2 linked regions of the Mus musculus genome follow. The protein of the gene in region 1 purifies or fractionates together with the protein of each later gene. This does not show direct contact. Links are inferred from orthologs where the notes say so. Each region holds a gene or a part of one and is shown in the gene's direction. Other genes may lie near its edges.

The links. The genes of interacting proteins can lie anywhere in the genome.
Region 2: the proteins of Larp7 (region 1) and Zc3hav1 purify together in Homo sapiens (affinity purification with mass spectrometry; 3 studies listed by BioGRID and IntAct, with this or other methods). This does not show direct contact. The link is inferred for Mus musculus from reciprocal best matches to the Homo sapiens genes LARP7 and ZC3HAV1.

The regions. Positions count from the first base shown.
Region 1 is NC_000069.6:127,549,872-127,555,676, reverse strand, and holds the start of Larp7 (la-related protein 7), read left to right. Parts: upstream 1-2,327; 5' UTR 2,328-2,494; intron 2,495-5,805. Other genes in the region: protein ZGRF1, read right to left, coding at 292-312. UniProt on the Homo sapiens protein: RNA-binding protein that specifically binds distinct small nuclear RNA (snRNAs) and regulates their processing and function.
Region 2 is NC_000072.6:38,332,826-38,338,136, reverse strand, and holds part of Zc3hav1 (zinc finger CCCH-type antiviral protein 1), read left to right. Parts: intron 1-1,472; coding exon 1,473-1,725; intron 1,726-4,948; coding exon 4,949-5,311.

The DNA.
Region 1 (5,805 bases):
CTGTTATATGTGGTGCTGGATTCAATTAGATTGAATACAGAAACAAGTGTGACAATCCAGCTGCATGTTACTACCTCAAATGTTAAATATAAAGAAAAAAAACAAAAAAACAAAAACAAAACCTGTCTAGCAATGCAAGTGGGAGGCAGAGGCAGGCGGATTTCTGAGTTCGAGGCCAGCCTGGTCTACAGAGTGAGTTCCAGGACAGCCAGGGCTACACAGAGAAACCCTGTCTTGAAAAACAAAAAAAAAAAAGAGGAGGAGGAGCAGAAGAGGAAGAAGACAACTTACAATAAACTCTTGACATTCCATTGTGTCTTCTGAGATTATAAACTAGTCAGGTCCAGAAAACAATCAGTTTTTAGTCAGCATTTATATCCTCTAAAATGAAAAACAGCAAAGAATGGTCAATCGACCCTGATAAAAAGAATAAATATCAAGTACAAACTTTTTCAATAAATCCTGACTGGAGACAGAAACCAAACAATTCCAAGACTATGAAGCCACCAAGAGAAACAAAACTGTATCTGTCATGGAGGACAGAACTGCGTGACACCACACAGGAAAATAAAGGTAAAACTCATAGTTACTAGAAATCTGTAAACATCTCTCCAGTGGCTTGCTATATACCAGAAAATGGATTGTTTTCCCTTCAACATGTACTGCTCCTTAGAACCCAACTTCAATTTTATTTTTCAAAATCATTATACTTACCACAAGATGGCCCCCTTGTGTCTTAAATTTTTCCTGCTAGCGTAATCCCTAGTTATCCAAGAACTAGTTTCAGGACCACAAATATTAACATCCGGCGCCAGCCACTTGAGTTCACATATAAAACGTCATAGTTGTTTCGCATATAATAGGAGCATGCACATATTTTCTAACATAAATAAGTTATCTCTAGATTACTTGTACCTAGTAGGTTGTAAATGATATGCAAACAGTGATTAAACTGCATTGTTCAAGAAATGGTAACAAGCCTGACTTGGTGGAACACAACTTTGATTCCAGTGCACAGGATGCACAGTCAGGTGGATCTGTGACTTCAAGGCAGCCTGGTTGCCTGTCTACCTATAGGGCTCCAGGACAGTCAGGACTAACTACATAGATAGACACTGTCTAAAAGGAAGAAATAAAAATGATAATTTAAAAATCTGTATGCTCAGTACTAACAACTTTTTTCTATTTCCCATCTATAACTGGCTGAATACAGATCCAGAAATTACAGGTACAGAGGGTTGACTATATACCCTAGTCAATATAGCACAACATCCTAGAGCCAAATATACAATATATAATTCCTCTGCAAGGAAAATTTTGTTCTTTCTTTTACCCAGTGCTAGGGGCTGACAAAAGGGACTATATGTAAACTAGGTAATAGTGCTTACATGCATCCAGTCCTTTATGTTTGTTTAAAATAGGATCTGACCATATTGCACAATCCCGTCCTAGCCTCTGGAAATAGCTGGGATATTACAAGCAATATGCCACCACACCCAGGAAGAAAAATCTCTTGGACAGTGCTGCAGCAGCCACTGTAACTACCATGTTAACTATAAGGTCAAATTTTGAAATCTTGAAATCGTCGATGGTGAACTGAATACAGATGCAAAAGCAGCACACATAAGCACACATATCTTCAAGTGGTTCCAGGGACATGACCTGACAATTAGTTAGCAATGAACATTTTAGGTCCTATTCTTTTAGGTCCTATTCTTGATCTATTACGTTAGGAAGTCCAGCTCTGGAGCCCAACAACAGTTTCTATCTGGCCCTCTGCAGTGATGAAAAACTGTCACAATAGCTCAGAACAGCACCGCTCAAACCAGGAAAGTTTCCAAACCACGAACGGCCTGCTAAACCACAAGGAACAGTACAGATCCCTAAAAGAAACATAGCTTCACTTGCCAAGCCTTGACACTTCAAGGTTTTGTATCACTAAATAATAATGGCCCCCTTGGTCCTATGTCAGCCCCTAAAACACCCACAACCGGGATGGGCCGCTATGGTGACCGCCTCACCCGGCACTCTAACGGCGCCTCGTGGGTCGCTTCCGTGGAGGCGAGTCAGTGTCCAGTGCTCTCCCAACCGCGCCAAGTCGCCCGGTCTGTCCACCCTTCTTGCCTAGAACACGGGAGAGAAAAGTCTCCACTTCACCGGCTCAATGACATAAACTCCACTTTCTAATTTCTCCCGCCAACTTAAGTGACGTCATCAAGCAGGGACGGTACCGCGGAGGCCCCGCCCGCCGCCGTTCGCAAACCACCAATGGAACTCCGCGTGCCAGCGCAGTCACCGCGTGGCTCCCGCCCCCGAGATGCTCCGCCTATGACGTCAGCAACGAACCCTGGGCCTCGGACCCGTCTTTCCGTAGCGGGCTGAGAGAAGCGCGTCGCTACTCGAATGACGCAAATTTCCGCCGACCGCAGGGGTCGGGAGAAGGAAAGCGTGGGAGAACACAAGCGCTGACCGTGGATCTGGGGACGAGCACGGAGTAAGTCACTACTGGCCTGCAGAGCCTCTCAGACCCGTAGAGGTGGGAACTCCTCTCAGTCGGGTCTCCTGAGGGCCACCCTCCATCCGCGGTCCGCCTCACCCCGCCCCCGTCGCCACTGTGCCGTTGGTTTGGCGCCGTGCGTTGTGCGCACGCGCAGTTCCCTGGCGGCCCCTGCTATTCGGAGCTCAGTACAGAGGGGGCGGGCCGAGCTTGGGGTTGGGGTGTTTGGGGCACGCCCGGCTGCGGGGGGGGGGGGGGGGGGGAGTCTGTGCGGAAGTAGGGTTGCTCAGAGGAACTGTGGGTGTTAGGCAGGTTGTCTTCCCAAAGGACATCAGTTGTGAGAACTTGCATTCTAAAGTTCAGTCTTTTCTTTTTGCTAGTCCCTCTATAGAAAAAGCCGTTGTAGAAGGGGCTAACAGTAATGAATTTAAGTTCTGAGTGCGTTTATGAGAAATTAAGGAGAAATATGAGTGGAGAGTTCATTGAGAATGGAAATCCTCAAGAAGTAAGACTGCCTTTTAGTAGTCTTTCGAAGCCGGGCGGTGGTGGGAAACCGAATGACTTCATAAAACATTCACACTAAAAGATTATTTGGAGCAAAGTTCCAGACCGCTAAAGGGTTTGCCGTGACTACAACTTTGGTTCTCAATCTTTTGGGTACTCTTCTTTTTGTTTAAAGCCTGGAAAATATTATTGTCGAGTTCCTTTGAAAATTTTACATGTACCTGTGGAAACATTTTGTATGTGATTTTACAAACAAAACCTTTGATTTAAAATTTAAAAAAAAAAAAATGGTCTTTTGCTTTACATCTAGCACAGCTTACTTCCAGATTATCTGTGACATTCACTGTCTTTGGGCAGTGTTGCAACTTTGTAACTTGTTGAAAACATAAAGATGAAAACCATGTTTGCCCAATCATTGCCCCTGACCAGTATATGTTAACATTCATTTTGACTTTATGCTGCATATTGATCTGGTCTTTTCTCCTTTAAACAGACTAGTTCCACTTAAATTTACCATATTCCTTTATATTTGTATAAGCATGATTTTACCTTTTGTTTAAAAGTTTGTCTTATAACATCTCATGGATTCCTAAGATGTCTTTAAACTCCCAGAAGTGTCAGGGAGGTCAGATGAAGAATTCCTGGGACAGCCCAGGCAGTGGTGACGCACACCTTTAATCCCAGCATTTGGGAGTTGGCAAAGGCAGGTGGATTTCTGAGTTCGAGACCAGCCCGATCTACAGAGTAAATTCCAGAACAGCCAGGCTATACAGAGAAACCCTGTCTTGAAACCACCACCCACCACCCCCCAAAAAAGAAATTCCTGGGTCAGAATATAGTGTGAATGCTGACAGAGTGTAGCTTCTACTAAACGGTAGACAGTGTAAGAGTCAAACACCTCGGTTTGCTTACCTACCTAGTTTTGACTGAATTACATAACCTTTCAGCCTCCCTTTGAAAAGGGGAAAGAAACGACCAAGTAGGATTGTCAAGATTTAAAACTATCTATCTATATAAATATCTGGCATTGCTTCACAGTAATTTCTTTGTTCCAAGACTGTGAGTTTTGTGGGTGGATGTTGTTTGTTTGTTTGTTTGTTTGATTGTTTGGAGGCAGGATTTTTTATGTAGCTCTGGCTGTCCAGAAATTCTGCAGAGCAGGCCAGCCTCAAACTCAGAGATCCACCTGCCTCTACCTCCCAAGTACTGGTATTAAAGTTGTGTATCACCACATTCATTTAGCAGTATATTTATGACACTACAAAAAAAAAGAAAAAAGAAAAACTTATCAGAATCACTAATGTTTCAAGTTTAGAAATAACCTTCACAGACTAGAAAGATAGCTCAGCCATGAAAAGCTAGGCTCACTCCCAAAAATATAAAATATAACCATCATAAACCATATGAGTATTATGGACAGGTGACACAAACTTCTGTAAAGGATAGGTGACTTCTAGTGCAATTATAAACTCATATTCTAATAGCAGATGGAGAAAACATTAAATGGGGGTAAGAGCCATTTCAAAGATGAAATTGATAGGATTTAGTGAAAGATTGGTAAAAATAACATGGCATCATGTTTTCCATGGCAGCTTTTCCCCCTTTGGGTTTTGGTTTTGTTTTGTTTTTTTTTGTTTGTTTGTTTGTTTTGTTTTTTGGGGTTTTTTTTTTGTTTTTTTGGGGGGGGGGGTAGGGGCAAGACAGGGTTTCTCTGTATAGCCCTGGCTATCCTGGAACTCAGTTTGTAGACCAGGCTGGCCTCGAACTCAGAAATCCACCTGCCTCTGCTTCCTGAGTGCTGGGATTAAAGGCATGCTCCACCACACCTGGCTGGTTTTTGTTTTTAAGATTTATTTTGTTTATGAGTACAGTGTAGCTGTCTTCAGACATACCAGAAGAGGGCATCAGATCCCATTACAGATGGTTGTGAGCCAGCATGCAGTTGCTGGGAATTGAACTCAGGACCTGTGGAAGAGCAGTCAGTGCTCTTAACTGATGAGCCATCTCTCCAGCCTGCGAGTCTTTTTTTAAACTTATGTAATATACATGTGTATGTATGAATGTATGTGTGTATACCGGAATATACGTGTGTGTGTGTGTGTGTGTGTGTGTGTGTGTGTGTGTGTGTGTATGAATGTATGCGTGTATACCGGAATATATGTGTGTATGTATGAATGTATGCATGTATACCGGATGCCCACAGAAGTCAGAAGAATGCTTGGATCCCCCTTGGAACCAGACTTATAGGCGGTTGTAAGCTTTGATATCAGTGCTAGAAACTGAACCTGTGTCCTCTGCAAGAGCAATAAGTATTCCTAACCACATCTCTGCAGACTTCTCCACAGCAACATTTTAAAGTGCTTAAACCACATTTTCTTTAATCAATCTTCACAGACTTGTGTCTACCTTTTATGGACCACAGAAATGAGAAAACTTCCAGACACATGCAGATATGGTTTGGTCAACTTGGTGGATTATAGTGTTAACATTAGTGAGGATAAATAGATTTTGGCCGGAAAGAATACATTTCCTTTGAAATGTGTGGAATGGCAATATAATTATTCATTACTACAGGACCTTGGGAAAGTACAAATAGGGTTAGGAGTGCAGCAAGGGCTGAGGAGTGGTTCAGTGGTAGGATATGGAAAGCCATGGGTCTAATTCCTATTCCTAGCATCAAGGAGAAAGACAGACAGAAAGTGGGTAGAGATGAGGAAGCTCTGTAACCAAGGTGTAGCCATTTAACTAACTGGTTTTCTTTGGACCTGGAGTAGGGAAGCTAAATTGTTCTGTAGTTTATGTGA
Region 2 (5,311 bases), on another chromosome or scaffold:
TAGCCACATGATCTGATTGCACCATCCCTGGATTTTACTCCAGCTCTGTAGAGCTATGTGTGCAGATGTGTTTGTTTAGAATACTGTAACTGGGGGCTGGAGAGATGGCTCAGCGGTTAAGAGCACTGACTGCTCTTCTAAAGGTCCCGAGTTCAAATCCCAGCAACCATGTGGTGGCTCACAACCATCCGTAATGAGACCTGATGCCCTCTTCTGGGTGTCTGAAGACAGCTACAGTGTGCTTATATATAATAAATAAATTAAAAAAAAAATAGAACACTGGAACCTTCCTAACACTGTGCCCCTTTAATGCAGTTCCTTGTGTTGTGGGTGACCCCCAACCATCAAATTATTTCATTGCTACATCATAACTGCACTTTTGCTGCTGTTATGAATCTTACCCTGCTATTTGACCCCCAAAGGGAGTCTAGATAGTGGGTAAGGATTTCCTTACTGAGTTGGTTATGGTGGTGTGTGCCTGCAATCCCAGCACTTGGGAGGTCAGGGAAGCAGGATTATGAGTTGAAATCTAGTCTGTGCTACATGAGTCCTCGTGTCCAAAACCTGAAAGCAAGGCTGAGCAGCACAGTGGTGCGCACCTTTCATTCTGGCTAACAAACAAAAACCAAGTGGGGAGGAGTGTGCACACCTTTATCCCAGTTCCTGGGAGGCAGAGGCAGGTGGATGTCTTCATAGGTCAAGGAAGGCTGGAGAGATGACTCAAAGGTTAAGAGGGCCTGAGTTCAAGTCCCAGCAACCACTTGTAGTCATCCATACGGTGATATGATGCCCTCTTCTGGCCTGCAGCCACACATGCAGGCAGAGCGCTGTAAGCATAATAAATAAATAAATAAATAAATAAATAAATAAATAAATAAATCTCTTTTTTTTTAAAAGAGTTCATCACCCTACTTCTTCCCTCTCTCCCACCCCTCACATACAAAATCATTTGAACAGGTCCTATTCTGGCTATCAGAGACAAATGACAAAATCCCAAAGTTGCAAATAACACACACACACTTTTTTTTCCTTTCAACGGTAGAGTAAGTTAAGATCCAAATTAGACTTCCTCTTTGGGGCTCCCTTATGATGTCCTGTGTACAGCTTGCCATGTGAGTTTGATTCTCCCAGGAATTATCAAATTCATCACTATTTTTCTCCTTTAAGTTTCCTTTCTTTTAAATGCAAGGTTTCTGCACTGCATTTGTGATCCTCTTTGCCTCGGCCTCCTGAACACTGGGTTACAGGTATGCACCATCATACGTGATATTGTCTGTTAATTCTTTCGACTCTTCTGTCCCCAAATAAGTCACCAGTTGAAGCCATCTCATCAGCCTTGGGTGTTGCGTGCATTGTTTCCCCCATGGCTCTCCTGGGTTGTTTTTTTTGGGGGGGGGGGCTGCACCCTTAACTGGTGGTGTGGCAGCCAGGTCCAGGTGTTCTTGCCTCATGGTTCTTTCTTTCTTCTCTAGATATGCAAGAGTTACAAAGGAGAGGGCCGCAAACAGATCTGCGGGCAGCCGCAGCCCTGCGAGAGACTCCACATCTGTGAGCACTTCACCCGGGGCAACTGCAGTTACCTCAACTGTCTCAGGTCTCATAACCTGATGGACAGGAAGGTGTTGGCCATCATGAGGGAGCATGGGCTGAGTTCTGATGTGGTCCAGAACATCCAGGATATCTGCAACAACAAACACACTCGGAGGAACCCCCCTAGCATGAGAGGTATGCCCTTTCCCTTTTAACTGTGTGAATTTGCAAATGTACAGAAACCACAGTGGGGCATAGTGACACACACCTTTCATCCTAGCACTCAGGAGGCAGAGGCAGGAGGATTTCTGAGTTCGAAGCCAGCCTGATCTACAGAGTGAGCTCTGGGACAGCCAGGGCTACACAGAGAAATCTCATCTCAAAAAACAAGCAAGCCAGCAAACACAAACAGAAGGAAAACTGCAAGAAATCTGCCTGTAAAATCTCAACTTCACTATCTGCATGCACCACTTTAATACAATTGAAACAATGATGTGTATGCAGTTTTACAAGTGGCTCTATCCCCTCATTTTAAAAGAGCTTATTATAGTCTGGTGGTGGTGGCACACACTTTTATATAACATACCGGCACTCAGGAGGCAGAGGCAGGTAGATCTCTGAGATGGACACCAGCTTGTTCTATGGAGCTAGTTCCAGGACATCCAGGGCTACAGAGAGAAACCCTGTCTTCAAAAAAAAAAAAAAAAAGTTTGCTTGGGGGTGGGACATGTGTGCATCAGTTAATTCCAGGGCTTTGGAGACAGAGGCTAGCCTCAGGAAACTCTAGCTTGTGTCAAGTTGACATAATAAGACTGGCCAGCATGACTGTATTACTTATTATTTTGTGTGTGTATATACAGCCATATGTGTGGAGGTCAGAGGTCAACTTCAGGAGCTCTCTTTCCCCAGACTAACCCCAAGTCATTCAGGCTTGGTGGCAGGCACTTTTATCCACTGAGCCATCTCACTGGCTCTTCTTGTCTAGTGGACGCAGTAGAAGCCAAGTTTATGAAGGGGGTAGAATCTCTGACTCTAGGATCTGCAGTGAAGCAATGAAAAGCTACGTCTCCTGGTACTTAGTCTACAGAAGACTTTGCCCCAGAATCTGTCATCATTACTCCTCACAGCGAAACTGTGATCAATGGCGGGTTTATTACTCATTAACTTCACCTAGGGTAAGGAAAGGAGTGTTATAAGTCCTAAGCAGCTTTAACTCATGCTTGGAAGACCAAACAGTACTGTGAAGATGAAATCAAAAGCCGTGCTTGTGACCCGAGCACAGGAATGCAGCTTCCACACCACAGTGCCCTGAACAGAGAGTGACTGTAGAGGTGGGTTTGTGAGCTCTTCACAGCGTGCGGGAGAGAGCTGCATATCATTGTTACTTCTAGTTAAGCTATGTAGTTAGACATCATGACGGGGGAGTAACTAAGCTAGCTCAGGCAGTCAACGGGTTCTCCAGGTCGGGAGTGAGGGTTAAAAAAGACAGTTAGACAACACTGTAGCATGACCCCAGCCAGTTCTGAGACTAAAGGCGAGTTTATTTTTTTCCAGTCTGCTTTTATATCATTCTGGGTACATACAAAGAATATGGTCAGTCCTTAAGGCGTAGACAAAGTAGTCAAGGAACAAGCAGGGCAAAAATCAAGGCAATAAACAGAGGTCACTGTGTCTAGGGGTTTATCAGGATGGTCCAGATCCAAAGAACACGTTCTTCATCTGTATTTGCCTTGAGCCTACTTCATTGTCCCAGCCTGATATCAAATTCCTACCAAACTCCTAGAAGCAGCCCCAAAAGCTCTCCACAGGGGAGCCTTGCTTTTGCCACAATACTGTTGTCCCCTTTCCTCTACCAGGATAATACACACATGTTCCTCATAAGCAAACAGACCCTACTGCACCTCCACCCCCAGCTTTCAAATGCCTTTCCACAACAGACGTCACCTACGTAGGTACCACGCCAGACTTCACACACTGGGTCACTCCTGTCTTCTCTGCTTCCCAGACTTTTCTAGAGAAAAGATGCTGCTTTATCAGCGTCTCCGGATTTTTTTTCTCCCTTCAATATATATACAATGTAGGGCAGGCTAGCCTAGAACTTGCTGTGTAGCCAAGGCTGGACTCCTGTCTTAGCATCCTAAGCACTGGGATTATAGGCATGATCCACCCCGTCTGCCTTCAATTTCAGCTTTTCATAAGTTTAGGCACTTGTGGTAAATATTTTGGTTTTTGGTTTTTGGTTTTTGGTTTTTCGAGACAGGGTTTCTCTGTATAGTCCTGGCTGTCCTGGAACTCACTCTGACCAGGCTGGCCTCGAACTCAGAAATTCGCCTGCCTCTGCCTCCCGAGTGCTGGGATTAAAGGCGTACGCCACCACGCCCGGTGTGGTAAATATTAATTGGGTGTTTCTACCCCACCTTAAGTCATTTAGTTTCCAAATACAAAGCCTTTATATTTATAATAATCCTTTAAAGCACGAGAGCTGGGCAGATATCAACGCTCTGTGCTATTTTGTCTATTTCCCTGTCAATAATCCTGAACTATCACTTGCCATGTTCCACCTGGGCTGCCTCTGCTCCATCAGGCCGTCCCTCGCGGCCATGTGCTCATGATCCACCTACCCCATGGTACCTTCTTCCTCCTCTCCCCTCTCCCCTCTCCCCTCTCCCCTCTCCCCTCTCCCCTCTCCCCTCTCCCTTCTCCCTTCTCTCCTTTCTCTTCTCAGTCTCTACTCAGAAGCCAAGCCTGGGAAGCTAAGCCCCGCCTACCTCTCTTCAGCCAAGCTGTAAGCATCTTTATTCAAACAATAGTTTCAAATTAAGGATTAAGGTTTTGCACAACAAAAGCTGGCATCTGTGAGAATTCCCTGTCTTGAGACAACTAGACCATTACAGTACATAGATAGCAACAGCCCTAGCCTCAAGAGGCGCTAAGGGAGCTAGAGGAAGAAGCCTGGAGAGTTTGTGGCTTAGACGAAGGCTTAGCTTGAACCTGCAGCCATTTACCATTTGGTTTCAGTGTTAGAAGTGCCTGTTCCAGAACCCAGATCGGAATGCGTGACGTCTCCATGAGTCGTGGACATGTTTCTCTCACTGGCTACATTTCAGCTGTCATTCGCTGTAGTAATGACCGTTAACTCAGAACTAGAGTCTGGAGACACCCCACCTGGGGTCTTGGGGACTGGAGGGCTCACTGAGTCCCAGGAGAGGCCAGAGGAGCTTTGGAGTCCTCCCTTGTCTGAGCCACCCACACGCTGCTGTTGTGGACTCTGCCAGGTTGCAGCTTCGTCCTAAGATTCGCAGCCACCACTTAGGAAACTCCTATGATAGAACTCAGCTACAGGGCTGGACAAGCAGAGAGAACATGGAGGTAGGAACTAACCCGAGCTTGAATTTTCTCTCTGGGTTTCTCTTTCCAGCTCCCCACCCACATCGCAGAGGCGGGGCACACAGGGACAGAAGCAAAAGCAGAGACCGCTTCCATCACAACAGTCTAGAGGTTCTCTCAACGGTCTCACCTCTGGGATCTGGTCCCCCTAGCCCAGATGTCACCGGCTGTAAGGATCCCCTGGAGGATGTGTCTGCAGATGTCACCCAGAAGTTCAAGTACCTGGGGACTCAGGACCGTGCACAGCTTTCCTCCGTCTCATCTAAGGCCGCTGGTGTCCGAGGACCCAGTCAAATGAGAGCAAGCCAGGAGTTTTTGGAGGATGGGGATCCAGATGGCTTGTTTTCTAGGAATCGTTCTGATTCGTCCACAAGTCGAACCTCTGCTGCTGGCT